4 linked regions of the Oryzias latipes genome follow. The protein of the gene in region 3 purifies or fractionates together with the protein of the main gene of each other region. This does not show direct contact. Links are inferred from orthologs where the notes say so. Each region holds a gene or a part of one and is shown on either strand. Other genes may lie near its edges.

The links.
Region 1: the proteins of bag2 (region 3) and snw1 purify together in Homo sapiens (affinity purification with mass spectrometry; 3 studies listed by BioGRID and IntAct, with this or other methods). This does not show direct contact. The link is inferred for Oryzias latipes from reciprocal best matches to the Homo sapiens genes BAG2 and SNW1.
Region 2: the proteins of bag2 (region 3) and stub1 purify together in Homo sapiens (affinity purification with mass spectrometry; 7 studies listed by BioGRID and IntAct, with this or other methods). This does not show direct contact. The link is inferred for Oryzias latipes from reciprocal best matches to the Homo sapiens genes BAG2 and STUB1.
Region 4: the proteins of bag2 (region 3) and edrf1 purify together in Homo sapiens (affinity purification with mass spectrometry; 3 studies listed by BioGRID and IntAct, with this or other methods). This does not show direct contact. The link is inferred for Oryzias latipes from reciprocal best matches to the Homo sapiens genes BAG2 and EDRF1.

The regions. Positions count from the first base shown.
Region 1 is NC_019882.2:3,678,799-3,683,020, reverse strand, and holds the start of snw1 (SNW domain-containing protein 1), read left to right. Parts: upstream 1-1,413; 5' UTR 1,414-1,526; coding exon 1,527-1,540; intron 1,541-1,962; coding exon 1,963-2,116; intron 2,117-2,190; coding exon 2,191-2,352; intron 2,353-3,368; coding exon 3,369-3,464; intron 3,465-3,610; coding exon 3,611-3,717; intron 3,718-4,222. UniProt on the Homo sapiens protein: Involved in pre-mRNA splicing as component of the spliceosome. As a component of the minor spliceosome, involved in the splicing of U12-type introns in pre-mRNAs.
Region 2 is NC_019877.2:8,954,553-8,958,642, forward strand, and holds the start of stub1 (E3 ubiquitin-protein ligase CHIP), read right to left. Parts: upstream 2,810-4,090; 5' UTR 2,539-2,809; intron 1,987-2,538; 5' UTR 1,870-1,986; coding exon 1,756-1,869; intron 1,663-1,755; coding exon 1,464-1,662; intron 1-1,463. UniProt on the Homo sapiens protein: E3 ubiquitin-protein ligase which targets misfolded chaperone substrates towards proteasomal degradation.
Region 3 is NC_019873.2:24,430,602-24,434,721, reverse strand, and holds bag2 (BAG family molecular chaperone regulator 2), read right to left. Parts: upstream 2,805-4,120; 5' UTR 2,651-2,804; coding exon 2,529-2,650; intron 2,387-2,528; coding exon 2,277-2,386; intron 1,096-2,276; coding exon 701-1,095; 3' UTR 107-700; downstream 1-106. Other genes in the region: E3 SUMO-protein ligase ZNF451, read right to left, coding at 4,025-4,065. UniProt on the Homo sapiens protein: Co-chaperone for HSP70 and HSC70 chaperone proteins. Acts as a nucleotide-exchange factor (NEF) promoting the release of ADP from the HSP70 and HSC70 proteins thereby triggering client/substrate protein release.
Region 4 is NC_019873.2:19,100,867-19,105,075, reverse strand, and holds the start of edrf1 (erythroid differentiation-related factor 1), read right to left. Parts: upstream 2,810-4,209; 5' UTR 2,407-2,809; coding exon 2,308-2,406; intron 2,082-2,307; coding exon 1,885-2,081; intron 1,669-1,884; coding exon 1,602-1,668; intron 1,519-1,601; coding exon 1,393-1,518; intron 1,304-1,392; coding exon 1,179-1,303; intron 1,064-1,178; coding exon 919-1,063; intron 746-918; coding exon 644-745; intron 48-643; coding exon 1-47. UniProt on the Homo sapiens protein: Transcription factor involved in erythroid differentiation. Involved in transcriptional activation of the globin gene.

The DNA of each region.
Region 1 (4,222 bases), on a different chromosome or scaffold from region 3:
GTGTAAATCAACCCCATTGTTTCCTGATCGCATTTGTTTATAATTTCAAGTTATACCAAAGAGAACAAAATCCTGATAAATATGGGATCCAAAATGAAGAGGAACAAACTTAATGAAATCAAGAGACAACATTCGCTGGTGGGAAATAAAAATAAGGCAAAGAATTTCATTGATTTTGAGGATTCGTGTCTCTGCACGACAGCAGTGCAAACTGCTAGATATCTTAGAAAAACCTTATTGACAGATCACAGGCTTTAATATACATTTAGGCTTTAAGATTGACAGAAAAAGGATTTAGACTCGCAACATCTGCATGAAAGCAGGATATGAAATCACTTATCCATGAGTGGACTTAATAAGGTGGCTACCTGTTTTCTATTAGATCCTAAGGGATTTCCTTCTGTTTCAGCAAAAGTTCTCTGGCAGTCTGAGTCTCTTCCTGAATATGAATGATACTTTTTATTAAATATGAAAACAATCCAAAGGAAATGGAGGAAGTTTCCATCCACCAAAAAAAAATCCTCTTTTGAAGTAACAAAATATGTATCTGAAGTATCCTTATGTAATTTATAAAAACATTTATGCATTTTTTTTATTCAAGCATATCATTCTTTTATTCTGTCATCCTTGTTTTTTTATAAAATTATTATTTTTCTATTGTTGTTTTTTGTGTAATTTAAATGTTGCTTTAACTTCTTAACTTTACCTTTGACTCCCGTGTTTCTTCATTGGGAACCTGGCCTGCTGAGTCCAGGGCAGGGATCTGCAACCTGAGGCTATGGAGCCACATGTCCATCCATTGTGGCTCTAAGGTTTAAAAAAAAAAAGGGAATGATTTGAAGAAATTATAAATGTGAAGTTTGGAACAAAATAATAATAAGAGTTGTAGTGTACTGTCTGAGTGTTTTTTGTTTTGTTTTTTTCAAATAAGCCTTAAAGCTCTTTTTCTGATCCTCTGCGCCACAACACTGTGTAGTTGCTGTTCAGAGACAAAGTTCTTATAGTTTATAAGTTATGATGCAGCCAGAAGATCTTATTTGGTACAGGGTGTAATTTATTTTTAAAGGAATTTGGATAAGCGGCCGTCAGAAGTAAAGCAAGTCCAAATTTGTATGCATAGAAAATATAAAGGCTGTGTTATTTCAATTATTTTAAATATTTAATAACTTTATTTTATAGATGAATAGATGATTGGCCAATACAACATATAGGGTTTTTTAATAATTAGAAAAAAATGTGGGAAGCACAAGTGTATGTATAAAGTTTCGTGTTTTTTTCATTGGGTGGGTGAAAGCCTGTTTTTTGTGTGCATTGGCTTTTATTATGTAATTAACTTAACAAGTTAACATAACAAATAAAATGTTGTAAAACGAGTATGTACTTTTATTTTATTTTGTTTTTATCGAACTGGACATGGTTTGATATGTATTAGAGCTTAGAATTGTCAAACCTGGCAACCTTCTTCTCTTTTTCGCTTACGGCCTGTTCTTGCGCATGCTCACTTCATAGTTCAGGAAGAAAGGAAAATGTCTCTGACGAGGTAAGTCTCTAAGTGAGGCCTTTTGGCGAATAAGGCACAAAATGCGATCGGAGTTTCTGTCTGTGTTTGTTATACATTTATTTGGTTTAATATTAAACGTTAAATATTTAGTTAAACTTTAAACGTTTCGCTCTTTTCTGTGTTTATGATGTTAGCTAATGCTAGCTAGTGCTAACTAGTGAGACGGGGTTAGCATTAGCTTGTACCCTCAAACGACCGTTTCTGAAGTTAGCTTGTTTGTTTAATCTATTACTTAAACACATGTATTTGATATCGTGTTAAATAAACCTCTTTACCTGCATTAACGTTTCAGGTTTGCAGTTTTTGTTCCTGCTACTTTGACGTCGTTTCACGCTGATCCGCGTTTACAGCGACTTGCTAAGTTGTCTTTAAACTGCATTATGTGGACCTGTTTTGCACAGCTATTTACCGGCACCGACCCAGCTGTCTCAGGACCAGCTGGAAGCAGAAGAGCGGATTCGGACCCAGAAATCCTATTCCACTGCGCTGGTTGCGTCCCGTAAAGAACCCCCTCCTTACGGACACAGAAAAGGCTGGGTTCCGCGTGCATTTGAGGTGCACTTCAATGGATTACACATTGGTTCACTGCCTAGTTTCGCATTTCTACAAAACATTCTGGGTGTTCCTAGGACTTCGGAGATGGCGGGGCTTTTCCAGAGATTCACGTGGCCCAGTTTCCTCTGGAGATGGGCAGGAAGAAGAAGACCTCTAACGCCCTGGCAGTTCAAGTGGACGCAGAAGGGAAAATCAAATATGATGCCATTGCCAGACAAGGACAGGCTAAGGATAAGGTACTTGAGCTTTTCCTCTTTCTGGCAGTCAGTGAGGAGCTTTAAAACCCTATTCTTGCTCTTAGTGTCCACAAATACATGAGAGGTTCTGACTTCTTGGTTCTATTCCTATCAGACACGGCTGTGTTTTATTTGTATTTTTTCACATAAAAAAGAACCAACAAGTCAGTTAATAATACAAGACACGATGAACTTTATCAAACTAACATGAGAGGTTCATTATATGACTTGACAGATTCTAAATTGACCTCTAAAAGTCCAGCTGAAGAACCGATGTTCTGGATGACAGAATCTCCACAGAAATGTGGGACCTAATCTTAACTTTGGTAATACAGCTTGGTTTGGTTGTCATTTAAAAAAAATGCACACTATAGTGTTTTGTTTTTTGTAAAAACCATGTTTGATCCTTACATTTCTATTGGTGTTCATACACGACACTCCAGACGCATGTGGGAGGAGCTACCGCCAAACGGTTTTAGCCTCATTGCTGCAGACAGGGATGATGTTGAGATATCACGTTTTTCTACTTTGAAGAGCTCTACAAAAATGTCGATAGGCACGTCTCCATGTCTTGATCAATGAGATCATCCAGAGACTCCCACATCTGCTCCTGAAAGGGAAACCCAGTTTGACGACTTTCTGTTCTGCATTCAGGACCTTTTTTTGTGTGTCTTGATCCACTTATAACATCTTCAACGCATCCCGGTCCGAAGAGGAGTCCCTGATTGGTTGACGCGGCGCATCTTGTTTGCCGAAGTTCATATTTTTGAACTCTTGACGCACCGCAACAGCCAAAAAAGCGCGCGGCTGCCAGACTGGTGTGCAGCTCCAAAATCAAATCTGATTGCTTCTTTACGTTAAGCTAACATTAAAACTGGACACTCCTAATGCGCAAATGGCATTTAGTGTAAACGCAGCTTTACACAATCTATCCTATTCTATGAGTCTGCATGTTTTGCCATATTGGTAAATTTTGAGTGAGATTATTTCTATAATTTTCTTCTTGATTTTTGTAGGTGATTTACAGCAAGTACACTGATCTGCTCCCAAAAGAAGTTCTTAATGAAGACGCTTCAGGCCTTCAGAAGCCGGATGAGGAGGCTGTAGAAGAGGTAATTTGCTGCTCGGGCTCGTGCAGACATTCAGGATTCATTCATCCGATTTGGTGAAATTGTCTTTCAGCGTGCCCTTACTTATTGTTTTTAATTACTGTAAGCATGTGTAGTTTCTCATGGTTGGGGATGGATGCTCTTTGCAGTTGACTGAGAAGACTCGGGCCGCTCTACAAAAGCAGGTGTCGCAAAAGATTGCTGCAGCCATGCCTGTCCGGGCCGCCGACAAACTCGCTCCTGCACAATATATCAGGTAGCAATTTACCTGAATCATAAACAGTACTTCTATTTTAGATCGAGGACTTCTTTGTTGTTCCATCAGATCCTCTTGGATTTTGCAATCACACCAGTTCACATGAATTCAACCAATTCTTGCGACGTTTTTGCCCAATTACTTTTGCCAGCTGCTCTTATTTTAAACACTTTCTCCACCAATCAAGCGTAGAGGCTGAAGCATAAACATCTCTTGTCTAATCGAACATGCTTACTTCTGGAACTATATCAAACAACAAAAGGAAGTATTGAACAGTCGGTCTATCACAACATTTTGCAAATATTGAAGCTGGAAGTTTCCTTCAACGTTGCGTTGAAGCACCAGCGAGTCGATGATTGACGAGAACCTTTCCACCTGACGTTTGCAGAAAACGACTGAAAGTTGTGTAGAGAGTATATGGAGATGTTGATTTACCCTTCATGGGGTTAAATAAAATCCCCTTCAATAAACAACTTTTCAAATATTTCTCCTCCTACAGCTTTTG
Region 2 (4,090 bases), on a different chromosome or scaffold from region 3:
ACAGCAAACAATAGGATTCACTTTAGACAGAGATCATCTGCCCATTTTTTAACACTTGACACGGCACAGAGACAAACAAGACCAATGTAAGAATTGTATGTTTGCAGGCGTGTGTAACAGCGTAGTGAGACAATAAACATGTAATTCTGCTCTTAATCACTACAAAAGTTATCTGTGCTGAATCCAAACCCAAAACTGCAGCAAGACAAATAAATCACAATATGATCAAAACCCAAGCACGCACGCACACACACACACACACACAAACATACATTTATACACACAAATTAAATGGTAAACGGCATATAATTGATTGAAATATGTCGAGCATTGATTTATTGTAACGTTGAAGATAATTAATCTAAATAATAGAATGTGTCAGAATATTAGCTTTTATCATCAAAATAATAGAAAAAGATGTTTACAACCTAAATGTTCAAATGCCTTCATTTCTATCACTTAGCTTGGTTAGGGCTCCTCTATGTGAATCACTGCATCAATGCACTGAGGATATGAAGCGTGTGGCTCTATGTAGAAGTAATGGAGGTTTCTATGTGCTGCCTTCACATTATCTGCATTATTGAGTCTGGTGTCTCATCTTCCTCCAAACAAGAGACAATAGATTCATAATAGGGTTCAGGTCAGGGGAATGTGCTATCAGCCACAGTAATACTATTAATTGAACCAGCTTTTGGTTCTTTTGGCAGAGTGGGCGGGCCCCATGTCCTGCAGGAAAATTGAATCTGCAGCTCCAATGAGCTCAACACCAAAAGGCAGCATGAAGTGCTACAGAACTTTGTGTAGACTTCAAAAAAACATGGACCTACATCATCCCTGACTGTGGAAGCTTCACAAGACCCTTCAGGCAACATCGGGTCTGTGCGTCTCCAAATGAAATACAACCTTTACTTTTGGACCACTAAGCATCTGTCTGGTTCTTTTCTAATGAGCCCAGGTAAAAAACAAAAAACAAAAAAAAACGTCTAACTCTGATGATGGTGAAATAAATCAGAATTTTGCATGGATTTTCTCTGTTGAAAGTCTTTTTTCTTTCCACTCTATTTTCTGTTAATATGCTTGGACAGATTAACTACCATGATTGCATATGGACTTACATTTGTCTGATACATTTGAAGGTTCAGGAAACCTTTGCAAAAATAATCCGTTACAGTTTTTGATACTTTTTATTTTGTCATTTTCTTCTTAATGTACCTAAAGTTGATGAAATGCTCTGGTTTTAAGGTAAATGCATTGATTTGTAACTGCTGGTGCCTTTAAGAACATGTGCAAGTTTGATTTTCTCATCCCCACAGAAAATTCTTTTTTGTTAGAATCCCACAATAAAAGCACAAGTGAACTGATCCATCTTCAACACCTAAAGGTTGTGATCCTTTGTTCTGGTGTTATGATTAAGAAAACCCGACACGAACGGCTAGGAGAGAAAAATCAAACTAGTTTCTGACCTTTTTGCAAATTGCCGATTGCCTCATCGTAGTTCTCCAGCTCCAGGTGACACTGGCCCAGGAAGAAGTGGGCTTTAACAGACTGACTATCCAGCTCCAGTGCATGCTTACAATCTGTCAGAGCCTTGTCATACTGCTGCAGCTTCACGTGGCAGAGGGCCCTGTTGGTGTAGTATACTGCCACTGATGGATTGCGGTTCTGGAAGACACAATGGGGAAAATAAAGAGTATTTACGCGCAAACTGTTTAGTCTTCGCCATTAGTGTTTGGATGAGAAATCCCAGACGCTTACAATAGCTTTACTATAGCAAGAGGCAGCATCCTGGTACTTGCGGCAGAGGAAAAGCCGGTTCCCCTGCTCCTTGAACTCCTGCGCGGTGGAACTCTTCTCCGGGCTGCCGGCCATCTTCTCCACCGGCTCCGCGGGGCCCGCTTCGCCCTGTTTCCCTATCCTGTTCCCCGTCTCTTCGGCTGGCTAGACAACAGGTTTTCAGAACGTCCCGTCCGGCTTGGATCTCACACACTAAAACACAGGCGCGTGCTGAGTTAGCGATGCACCTGCAATGCGCTGCTTCTTCAACGATCTCTCGGCGCAACGCTGCTGCTTGGTGCCGCTCAGAATGCATTCATTCGGGTTTGCTGACAGTGCACGCCGCTGAAAATCACAGCTAGACTGCCGGCGAATTAACTATTCACATTCGGAAATCGATGGCCATCAGCGAGCACAGCTATTTAAAAAAAATCCAGAACCATTAATTTACACATCCACTCAGGTTTCGAGTAAAAACACCAGATACAAGATAATATATTTAAGTTAACGAAAAATTGTATATTATTGTTACACGACAAGAAACACAAAAATAAGATTGCTAACTTACAAACAAACAGAGGAGGAGAATCGATGCTATGCTAAAATTAGCTAAGCTTTTATCTTGAAATTATTTTGTTTGGGGACATAGTACAGCTTTTGTGTCTCTAATCAATTTTATTGACATTTAATTTAGGGTAGATTCTGGTGAATTGAAGCAGAGGATAGTAAAACCATAACTACTTGTTCAAGGATTTCAATATTTACCACAACGCAGCTCGGTTTCTTCAAAAAACATAAACTAGCTAGTGCTAGCTTAGCCTTTTTGCATTACAGTTGCTTCACGTCCGTTTCAGTTTGTTGGAGGCTTAAATAAAGTTTTACATAGTACCCACCCTTACCTTTAATCAGAAATTTTACATTCAGCTCAAACAGATTTAATTTAGTTTGATATAAAATCGTTACGGATTATTTTTACCACCCGTACGAACTGTCAAGACGGAATGTTGTGGTGCTGACGTCAAACGCTTTACGCTCTAACAACGGAAGCCGAGAGCACACGAATCCTGATGGGAGTTTGCGCAGAGGTTATCTTCAAGTATCATAACAATGTAAAGTTTCTGTGCTCATTTCTGTAAAAGTACTGTGGGAACAAACCCTCATCTGTATTGGGACTGCTCTCATAATTTGGCTTTATAGAATGCCAGCCCTTTATCTTTAATCCTAAATTAATCATAGAGGGTCATTGGAGCTGTGAGAAGAGCATGCAAACAACGTGAAACAGGGGCCTTCTATATGTGAGAAGACCCTGGTATCAGTGCTAGTGGTTAGAACTAACATAGCTGACTACTGATACAAGTAACCACACCTTATCTCTGAGTGATGGTTAGTTGTATAGAAAATAGGTACTGACCTTACATTACGTTAGACAAAATACTATAACAACACCCTATCAAATAAAAGTGTTTGTTTATATCTGATTCGAAATTATTAGTAAAATAATTGATATTAATGGAAATAATTTATTATTATTATTTTGTCTTCCTTAAACTTCTGTTATTGCACTAATCCAAAAGCATTGAAGATGATAAATCTGTTCTATTTGATTTGGTGCTTTTTATGTCTTTACTCATTTTTCACTTTTTATATTAGCTTGATGCCAAATTTTAACATGAGACTTTGCTTATGTTAAGAGAAGCATAAAAATTCATTTTTTTTCTGTATCGCTTTGTCCCTTTCGGGGTCACGGGGCTGCCGGAGCCTATCTCGGCTACTTTGGCGTAGGCAGGGGATGCCCTGGACAGGTCGCCAGTCTGTCCAGGGCAGACTGCGTTTTTTATGCTTTTATGCTGCTGTAAGCATAAAAATGTAATTGAAAAAAAAAAACGTATATATTTTTTAACATTCAGAAAAGTATTTTTTTCTCAAATATGGTTTGAAAATGAAATGAAGCCACACCTAAATATTTCCTGTTATTTTTATGCATCTTTACAATCACTCATTTAAATCTGAATAAGCAAAAATATGAGAGCAAGAAATGGAAAGATGGGTTTACCTGAGGTTGTTTGAGACGTTTATACAAATCTGAAATGTGTAAAGAGGAGTTATTTTAAAAAATATGATCAGAAATATTTGCATTTTTTGCAGTTGAACTACCAATTTTACACACCAAGATACAGAAAAAGACAACTGGGTGGTTTCTCATTGCACTTGTAAAAGATCAGCACAGGAAATCTAGTGTATTGGCCAGAAGATGGCATCATCGGGCTACTCGTTTTTTTAAATGTGAGTCAAATCTTTAATGTAATCTGTTATTAAG
Region 3 (4,120 bases):
CTTGTGCAATTTTATGAACTGTACATGTGCTTTTAGGTTCTTATCAAACCAAATGACAAAATAAAGGAGGATTCCCCATTTGTGAAAACAAGAAACTGCATATTCAGAGGCTTCTCACAGTTTTTATTGACTTTCTTTCTTTGTGTTTCATAAAAATGTAACAAAAAAAAAAACAGCAGAAGATGAAGGCGTACAGAGTTTGTGTCAAAAATCCTTTCAACTAAAACTGTAAGACAAATAAAAAGTCTTTCTACAACTGAGATAAATTCCACGAACTTCCTGTCAGGTGGTTTCATTTGACATGTTTGTAATTTTATTTTCAACGTTAACGATCACAGTATTGGTAAAATACTGGTTGTTGCATTGTCAATCACCTCATATGTCAGAGCACTGAATTGCTGCAAAATGTGCTCAAAATTATATATTGTCTTCAAAAGGTTGAACTTCAATCTGTGATGCATCTGTATTTGTTCTTTCTTGGGCTTATTGATGAACATACATTGTGAACTGTGTGCCCTTTAGCTATGTCGGTGTAGTAAAATTTAAAGTAAAAATTGACCTTTTTACAAAAAAAATGTGTACCAGTGTACTTTTCAGGGTTGGTTACAATGCATGGATCCCTAAGAGTCATGCTTGTGCAGCTCTCCTTTGTGAGGTAAAGTGGAATTCAAAAACACCCTTCATGCTTTGGTGATGATTATTAACTACTGCAGTTGGTTTTTGCACTCTCCAGTTTTTGATGATCCATAATTTTGATGTTCTTTTCAGCGTTTTCCACATTCCTCACCAGCGTCTCCAGCCTCTGTTTGATCTTCTTCTGGTCCTCCAAAGAGCAGCTGATCACCACAACCTGGAACTTCTGATCGATGGGGACAGGCGGTGCTTCGGTCACGCAGGCGGCGTGCAGCGCCATCAGCTGCTGCCGACCGCCTTCCATGTCGACCAGCAACTTTTTTACGATTTCGTCAATCATGGATGTGGCTTTCCGCAGGGCCTCCTCCTGCTGGGGGTTTCTAATGGTGCCAACGGAGATCTCCACCGTCAGAGTCCGGCCCATCAGACGGTTCGCAGTTAAGCTCAACTCTTCCCTTTCTCCTGCAGAAGAAAAGGAAATTAGAGCTTTAATTTGTCATAAAAAATATTATTATTAACCTGTTTTTGACTCATTTCATTTATTTTGATGTATTTTATGTTAATAAATCGTCTTTTGATCTATTTCCAAAGTGTTCCGAGTGGTTTTGTAATTATAGTTATACCATTTTTAGCCCAAATAAAAAAATCCTGTGTCATTTTCTAGGACATAATTTCTGCAGAGCGGCAGGAATTCATTAGAAATCTGCCTCTAAGTTGTAGGTGGGGCCGTAGGCGTGGAGTAAGCCCACCCTTGCTTCCGGACATCTATGTGTTTAAACGCTCTCCTGCAAATTTACAGCCCTTTATAACCCCAACGTAACATTACTGATGCAACTCAAATGGCCTGCAAGAATGGAGATATCCATCCGTCCAGCTTTGAGCCGGAAGCCAACTCGGATGAGGAAAACAAAAGACCTACATGGATCTATTTGTCCGCAAGTGGATGCATCAGAATGGAGCAGAGAAGAGCAGGACGTTTGTGGTCTGCTGTATTAGCTTCTACGTCAAACCTACAAGCTTTTTCAAATGGCATTTTTGCTTTTGCAATTTGAATAAAGAAATACACCGAAATGGAAATATGAGCTGAATTTTCTTTCTATATGTCCTGCATTTTGAGAAAAACACCACAACAACATGTTAAAAACACCAAAAACACAATTTTCCTGAGTGGGTCTTTAAGATTTGATATAGGGGCAGAAATATAACAAGAATTTCATTTTTTTTGTTCCTTTCTATTCATGAAAATGTGTGGACTTATGTTGAATATGTAAATATAATATGGTACCATGAAAAGAACAGAATTTTTCTTTCTACTTATACCATGAAAAAAAGTTTATATCTTGTAGTAAACTTGCTATGTTGGACTCAGAAGTATAGTGTGTTCCTTTTAGAGGGTTTAATAGAAAGACACAGAGGTGAAATGGGACCTCTATGGGTGAGACATGTGATGCATTTTGGGTGGAGCACATTGTTCTTTTCAGTTTCTTGACCATCACGCAAAGTTTTCCTTTTATCACCACAGGATCAAAGTAGCAAAAAACAGGAATTAAGATTACTGGAAAGTTAAGCCACTCTTCACTGGTATTAAGCAGCGGATGACTTGTGCTCTTATGTAAGTTGTGGGAGAGAATTAGCAGCCTCACCCGCACAGATGTTACGCATTTCTTGACTGTTCTGGATGGATTGAATCATTTCCAGGATGCCTTCTCTTTCCTGCTCCAGGGCGGATGCTGTTTCTCTTAAAGCCTCCACCCTGACAAAAACAAACATCCGTCAAAAAAAAACAGCTTTTCTTTTTCCTTCCAATCACGTTCAGTTGTTAAAGTTACGCCACAGTGTCAAACGAACGAGAGCACCTCCAAAGAAGACGCGCATGGCGAGGCCCGTTATTGTACCTGATTTCCAGCTGATCCAGAGTTTCCAGCAGTCTTCCGGAGCGATCAGCCATGGACAGTGTCCTGCTGAACTTGCTGCAGACCGCTTCGTTCATCTTCGCCTGGATTTTCGCCTGAGCCATAATAATTAGTGCTGCAGTGCCGAGTTTCTGTAGTCCGATCAGTCAATCCAAAGAGTGAGCGGCGCTTTAAGCTCTCCGCCTGACCAGTAATTCCTCAGGCTACAGGCAGCAGCGCCCCTGGGACAACATTTCCTAACATGGGCTTCAGCTTCCTCCTCTTCCTCCTCCTCACAGAAACTTCCCGAGGAACCCAGAGAGGAGGCTCCAACCCAGACAGGGGGCTCCAACAGGGGGCTCTGAGTGAGGAGCGCTTTAGCTTTAAAATGCTTTATTTGAATTTCCATAAAACAACAGATTTTATTTTACACAAGATTTTATATCTGGGAGATAAAAGGGAACAGGGGGAGAGAAAGCTTATTTTTTCTGGAACTTTTATATAATTAGGAGGCAAAAAAACAATTGTCATAAATTGATTAGAAAATAAAAATAAACTAAAAGACGAATACATCAAGTAAATATAAAATAATAGTATTGTCCAATAACTGTTTTCTGCATGATTTGAATAATATTTTTGCAGAGTTCATACAGGTTTGTTAAACATGACATTTGCAACTCTCATCAATTTGTACAAGTGGCACTTTTTCATCATTTTAGTTAAAAGAAAAAAGCAAAGACACAATGTAACAAAACCACCTTTAGGGGGCGCTGATGAGGTGACAGGTGCTTGTTACCATTATCTCTATTGCTTCAAGCCACAAAGATAGATTCCATCTATTTTACCAACCAACAGGTCTCCAAACTGTTTTTTTTTTCTGTTCTCCGAACAAAATAATCAAATGTAACATTCAATGACCAAACGTCATGCTCCGTTATTATATCTTTATTAAAGAAAAATATTTTCACAGAGAGTACTTTTTAGGAAAACCGTTCTGTCCCTGTTATTCACTCACACTTTTACACAAAAAACCTTTTTCTTTAAGTTGAACTCATGTAATGATGTTTCATACAAACTTTTCTGTAGAAAAAATACAATTTCTGCTCATTCATTTCTGACGTCTGAGCAGCCGGTAAAGAGAATCCTCACGTCTGTAGTGAAACCAGAGAGGTGGAGGAGCGGTTGGTCTGCGGTCACGAGGTCAGCCCAGGCATCTAGCTGTGTCACCACAATCCTGTGTGTGTGTGTGTGTGTGTGTGTGTGAACACGTGACACATAGCTTCAATGTTTAGAACGTCTGACTTTTTATAAACCCTCAGCTTCTAACTAGCTTTAAAACCCACTGTCTGCCCCAAGAACTGCTGACTTTGGCTGCTAAAGGAAGTAAATCAATTCAAATAATTCATGACTTTTATTTATAACTTCTGAAAACAATGACCTTGAGTAAAAAAGGTCAACGTGACAGGTGAACAACAGGAACTACTTCATTTAGAAAGCACTTAGAACTCCACAAGACTTCTCTGAAGAGCTTCCTCCAACTCTGCGGGAAAGAAAAACAAGAAAAAAAAAAAAGTTGAAAATGACACTCCATTATA
Region 4 (4,209 bases), about 5.3 Mb from region 3:
TCCTCAAAGGTCCACATGATGTTTCGCACAAAGTCATTCCTTAAACCCTGCAAAGAATGCAAGTCGTCAAAACTTGTACAGAAAGAATTTAACAGTAATCAATATCACAATCTTTGTTTAATTTTTCAACAATCTTCCCCCCATTTTTCCATAAAACACAGTCTTGTACTTTTTTCCAATCAATTCATTTGATAAAAATACGCGAACAATACATCAAATCCAGTATGAAAAGTGTTTAAACATAAGTATATCAGATAGTGCTGATCTTTATAAAATTCAAAGCTTAAATAAACAAAAAACCTCACAAATGTGTTTTCACCTCATATCCTTTGCAACCCTCAGTGGTGCTTCTTATATCTCTTCACTCTTAGGTGACGCTGTGTTGTTCTATTATTATACTCTTCATAGTATTTTATATGCACCTAGTCATAATGATAAGGAATACTGCCACCTTGTGGCCGGAGTAGTCATTTAATATCCTGAGTCGATCAAAGCTAAATGAATGCAAATAACGGTTAAATATTTCTTAAACTTTCCTTTTTATTTCGAAATTATAAACACATTGAATAATCTTTGAAAATAAAAACAATATCCAGCTCTTGTTTGTGGTGAAATTCCAGACATTTGAATAGAACTTTGTTACCTGGCTGTTCTCGCCTTCATTGAAGAGAGCAGGGAGGTTTTGCTCTTTTAATACTGATGTCACCTGGCCCAGAGCAAATTTACTGTCCGCAGAAACACCTTCCTGAGTATCAAAAGGCATCAGTGTGTTCATTATATTTTTGGGCATTATGTAATTGAACTGAAAACAAACTAAAAAAAAAAAAAAAAAAAATTCTTGCCCGCCACAAAAATTCTCACTGTCTGAAAACAGCTTTTTGACCCGACCATACTTATTGAGCTCACTAGTAAAGCTACCTGTTCAGGAATTTCTGATTCTTGAGCATCTGATGGGCTGGTAAAGGTTGCAGGCCACGAGGAGCTGCACTCTTCAGCATTTTTGTCATCATCCCCCTCATTCATGTTGTCTAACACAGGCTCTGCAGCCCCATCACCATTTATGCTGCAGAAACAAAGAAAAACATGTGATTTTTGGACAGATTATGTAACAAGAAACACGCCCTTAAGTAGAACATTGCACCAAATTATATCTAACACTATCCTAAACAAAAACTTACCTGTAGTAGAGAAACTTTGACAGGATGGCTTTCTGATACCAGTGCTCTTTACTCTTTTTCTTCCGCTGCCATTTCTGATCATTTAGACGCTGGTAAAAATCTTTAAGCCATGTCCAGTCTCCTGTCTAAACATTGCATTAAAAAAAAACACATTACTGTCAAAAATAAAATATAAATGGAAGAATGTAGAAAAGGGATCCACCCTCAAATCTACCTGAGAGGATCTTCTAAAAAGCTCCTGAATGTCCAGCTCGTCTACAAGCAACGTCCTTCCAACCCGGTGAACAGCCATGCTAACGTGGGACTTGCTGTAAGGAATCTTCAAGAGTTTCTTGATGTTCTGAGGATGATAGAGCCCATCATTAAAGTCTGCCATGTCTTCAAATGTCAGAGAGGTAAAAAAAAGGAAAACTCTCCACAAACCTCAGAGTCTGATACCACATCAACACCATTCCCAATACAATCAATGAAGTCATAGGCAATTCCAAAACTAAAATGAAAACAAAGAAATGTGATACATCAATATGTGTTTAAATTGGTTAATTGTTATTAAAAAGAAAAAAAAAGAAATAGATTTTCAGGTTCAAACAAATACATAAAACGTTTTAAAATGTAATTTGGACCTCCCAATGTACTCTAAATCCAAAAATCTTAAGGTCATATGTCATCATTCAGGGACTGGATCTTTAAGAAATAGATGAGGAACCTGGAAAAGGGCTTGCTTTTGCTGCTTGACCCTAAAACAGCGCTGCCAAGCTGGGGGTTTTCCCTCAGCCAGTTGGCAGGTGGCAGCTTCAGGTCCGTCTTCTCCTCAGGGAGGGCATAAGTGCTGGGGGGGGCAGCAGAGTACTTGACCACAGCACTACTCTTCACTTCTCCATTTCCCAAATACATAGTGGGATCCTGGTGAAGCAGGAGACAAAAACATTCATGTTCTAATTAAACAGGAGAGGCAGACATTTGAAGTACAAATCTTAGTTTATTTTTCCTATGACTATGTAATAAGGTCTAATAACTGCATAAATAAGCCTAATAGAAACAAGGATTGCTTGTTAGTGTATAAACAAGACATAAAAACACAACATATTAATATAAACAATTATATAGCTCATTCTTTTATGTTGCTTACCCGTTTGCTGCAATCCTCTGAGCAGGCAGGACTTCCAATGTCTTTATCATTATCCAGGAGGATCCCAGGATTTCTGTCATCGCCAGCTGTTGAGCTCATTTTTTTTTCTACAACACTTTATTATTCCCGCTTAAATTAGCGAAATAATTCGTCGAACAGCTACATTATTATATGTAATTGGTGTTAAGATAATGACGTATCGTTCTTCCGACTCGATGATCTGCCTCCTGACCTGTCGCACGAATCTGTAGTAACAGAAAGTCAGGGTTCTTTCTAGATAGTTCCAGAGCTTGCGAGGCTAAAATAAACCGCACTACTAGCAAAGGTAGAAAAACGATTCAGCTCAAATCACATCAACTAAAACACATGGTTAGTTTTATATCCTCCACATTAATAATAATTTATACTTTCAAACTTCTCCCACTATTTTCGCTCAACAGAACCCCAACTTACACTGTTTTGCCTCTCTTCTGTATCCAACTCGCTTCTTAGCAGTCAACAAACAACGACTTCCGGTTGGAGGAATGCCAAATGCAACATTGATTGTATTTTTACGTTTTGAAGTGGAACATGTTTTGAATTTTTTTTAAGTAAGTTCACAAAAATATTTTAGAACGTAAAATGATGCATTTAAAAATAAATTCTGTTAAAAATCTAAAATACAAAAATCTTGAACCGGAAGTATTTGCAGTCTATGTTGGTCGATTATCTTTTAATGATTATACCCCATGTAATTGTTGCGTGGTCATCATTATTATTTTTATTATTATTATTATTATTATTATTATTATTATTATTATTTTGGCATTTACACTGTTATGATAAATTACAAACATTTTAAAATAAATTTTGTATTCGTATAAAACATTTAAAAAACTTACAAATGCCTAAATATATGATTTTGTAATGTATTTTGGAATACTTTATTCCAAAATTACGGAAGCTCTGAGCTGCCACTGCGAAAAATATTTTTTGGAACAGCTTCTCGTAATAACGAGAAAGTATCTCGTTATAACGACATACTTTCTCGTAATAACGACATAGTTGTTTACAGTAAAACGTCATCTTCTCGCGGGACATTTCATTCTCGTCTTGATGACCTGTGGGAAAAGATGGAGAATCAGCGGGAGCCTCTTTATTCCTTTTTAAGGGATAGAAATGTGTCAGAGGACAGAATTTCCACCATGAGGAATGACAAAGTAAGTTATACTTATGAAAAACATAGTTTACGTGAGTTTCATATCGATTTAATTTATTTTTTTGTTACTGAATGAGCCTGCCGTGTACTGCGTAGACGTGAGACCAACTAAGACCTCGTTAACTTAAGTATTGTAGTAGCTGCAAGGAAGCTCCTTAGGCGGGCGGTTGTCAAACAGCTCTTTATTAATGTTTCTGTATCTCAGAACGGTTACAGCACGAACCAACAGGCACAGCGAGCTTCTTCTAACTCCAGCGACAACGTTCACCGAACGCACACGCACACACACCCACAGGTAGACCCCGCCCCCTCTCTCCCACCAGTCATCAGCCCACCGCTGATTGACACACACTGTGGTCTAGCATCTTGCAGAAAGAGGGGGGCGCCGGCCACCTGCAGCTCTGTCCAAACTCTGGGTCGTCACAGTATGTAATGTTTTAGAGTTGCAGGGTATAACTCTCTTCAGTATGAACGTGCTGTGTTAACGTCTTTTATTAACATAACTGGTAGCAATCGCTTTTAACAGAAGGCTTCGTGCTTCGTTCATATCCCATAATGCATTATTCTTATTGTCAATACATCTTTACCGTAACGGAGATGCATTCGAGTGCAGTAGGATAAACGTGTATCAAAATATTACAAAGTACACCTCGATTAATGCTGTTATCCTAAGCTAATCATAGCGTATACTTTTATCCTGCAGA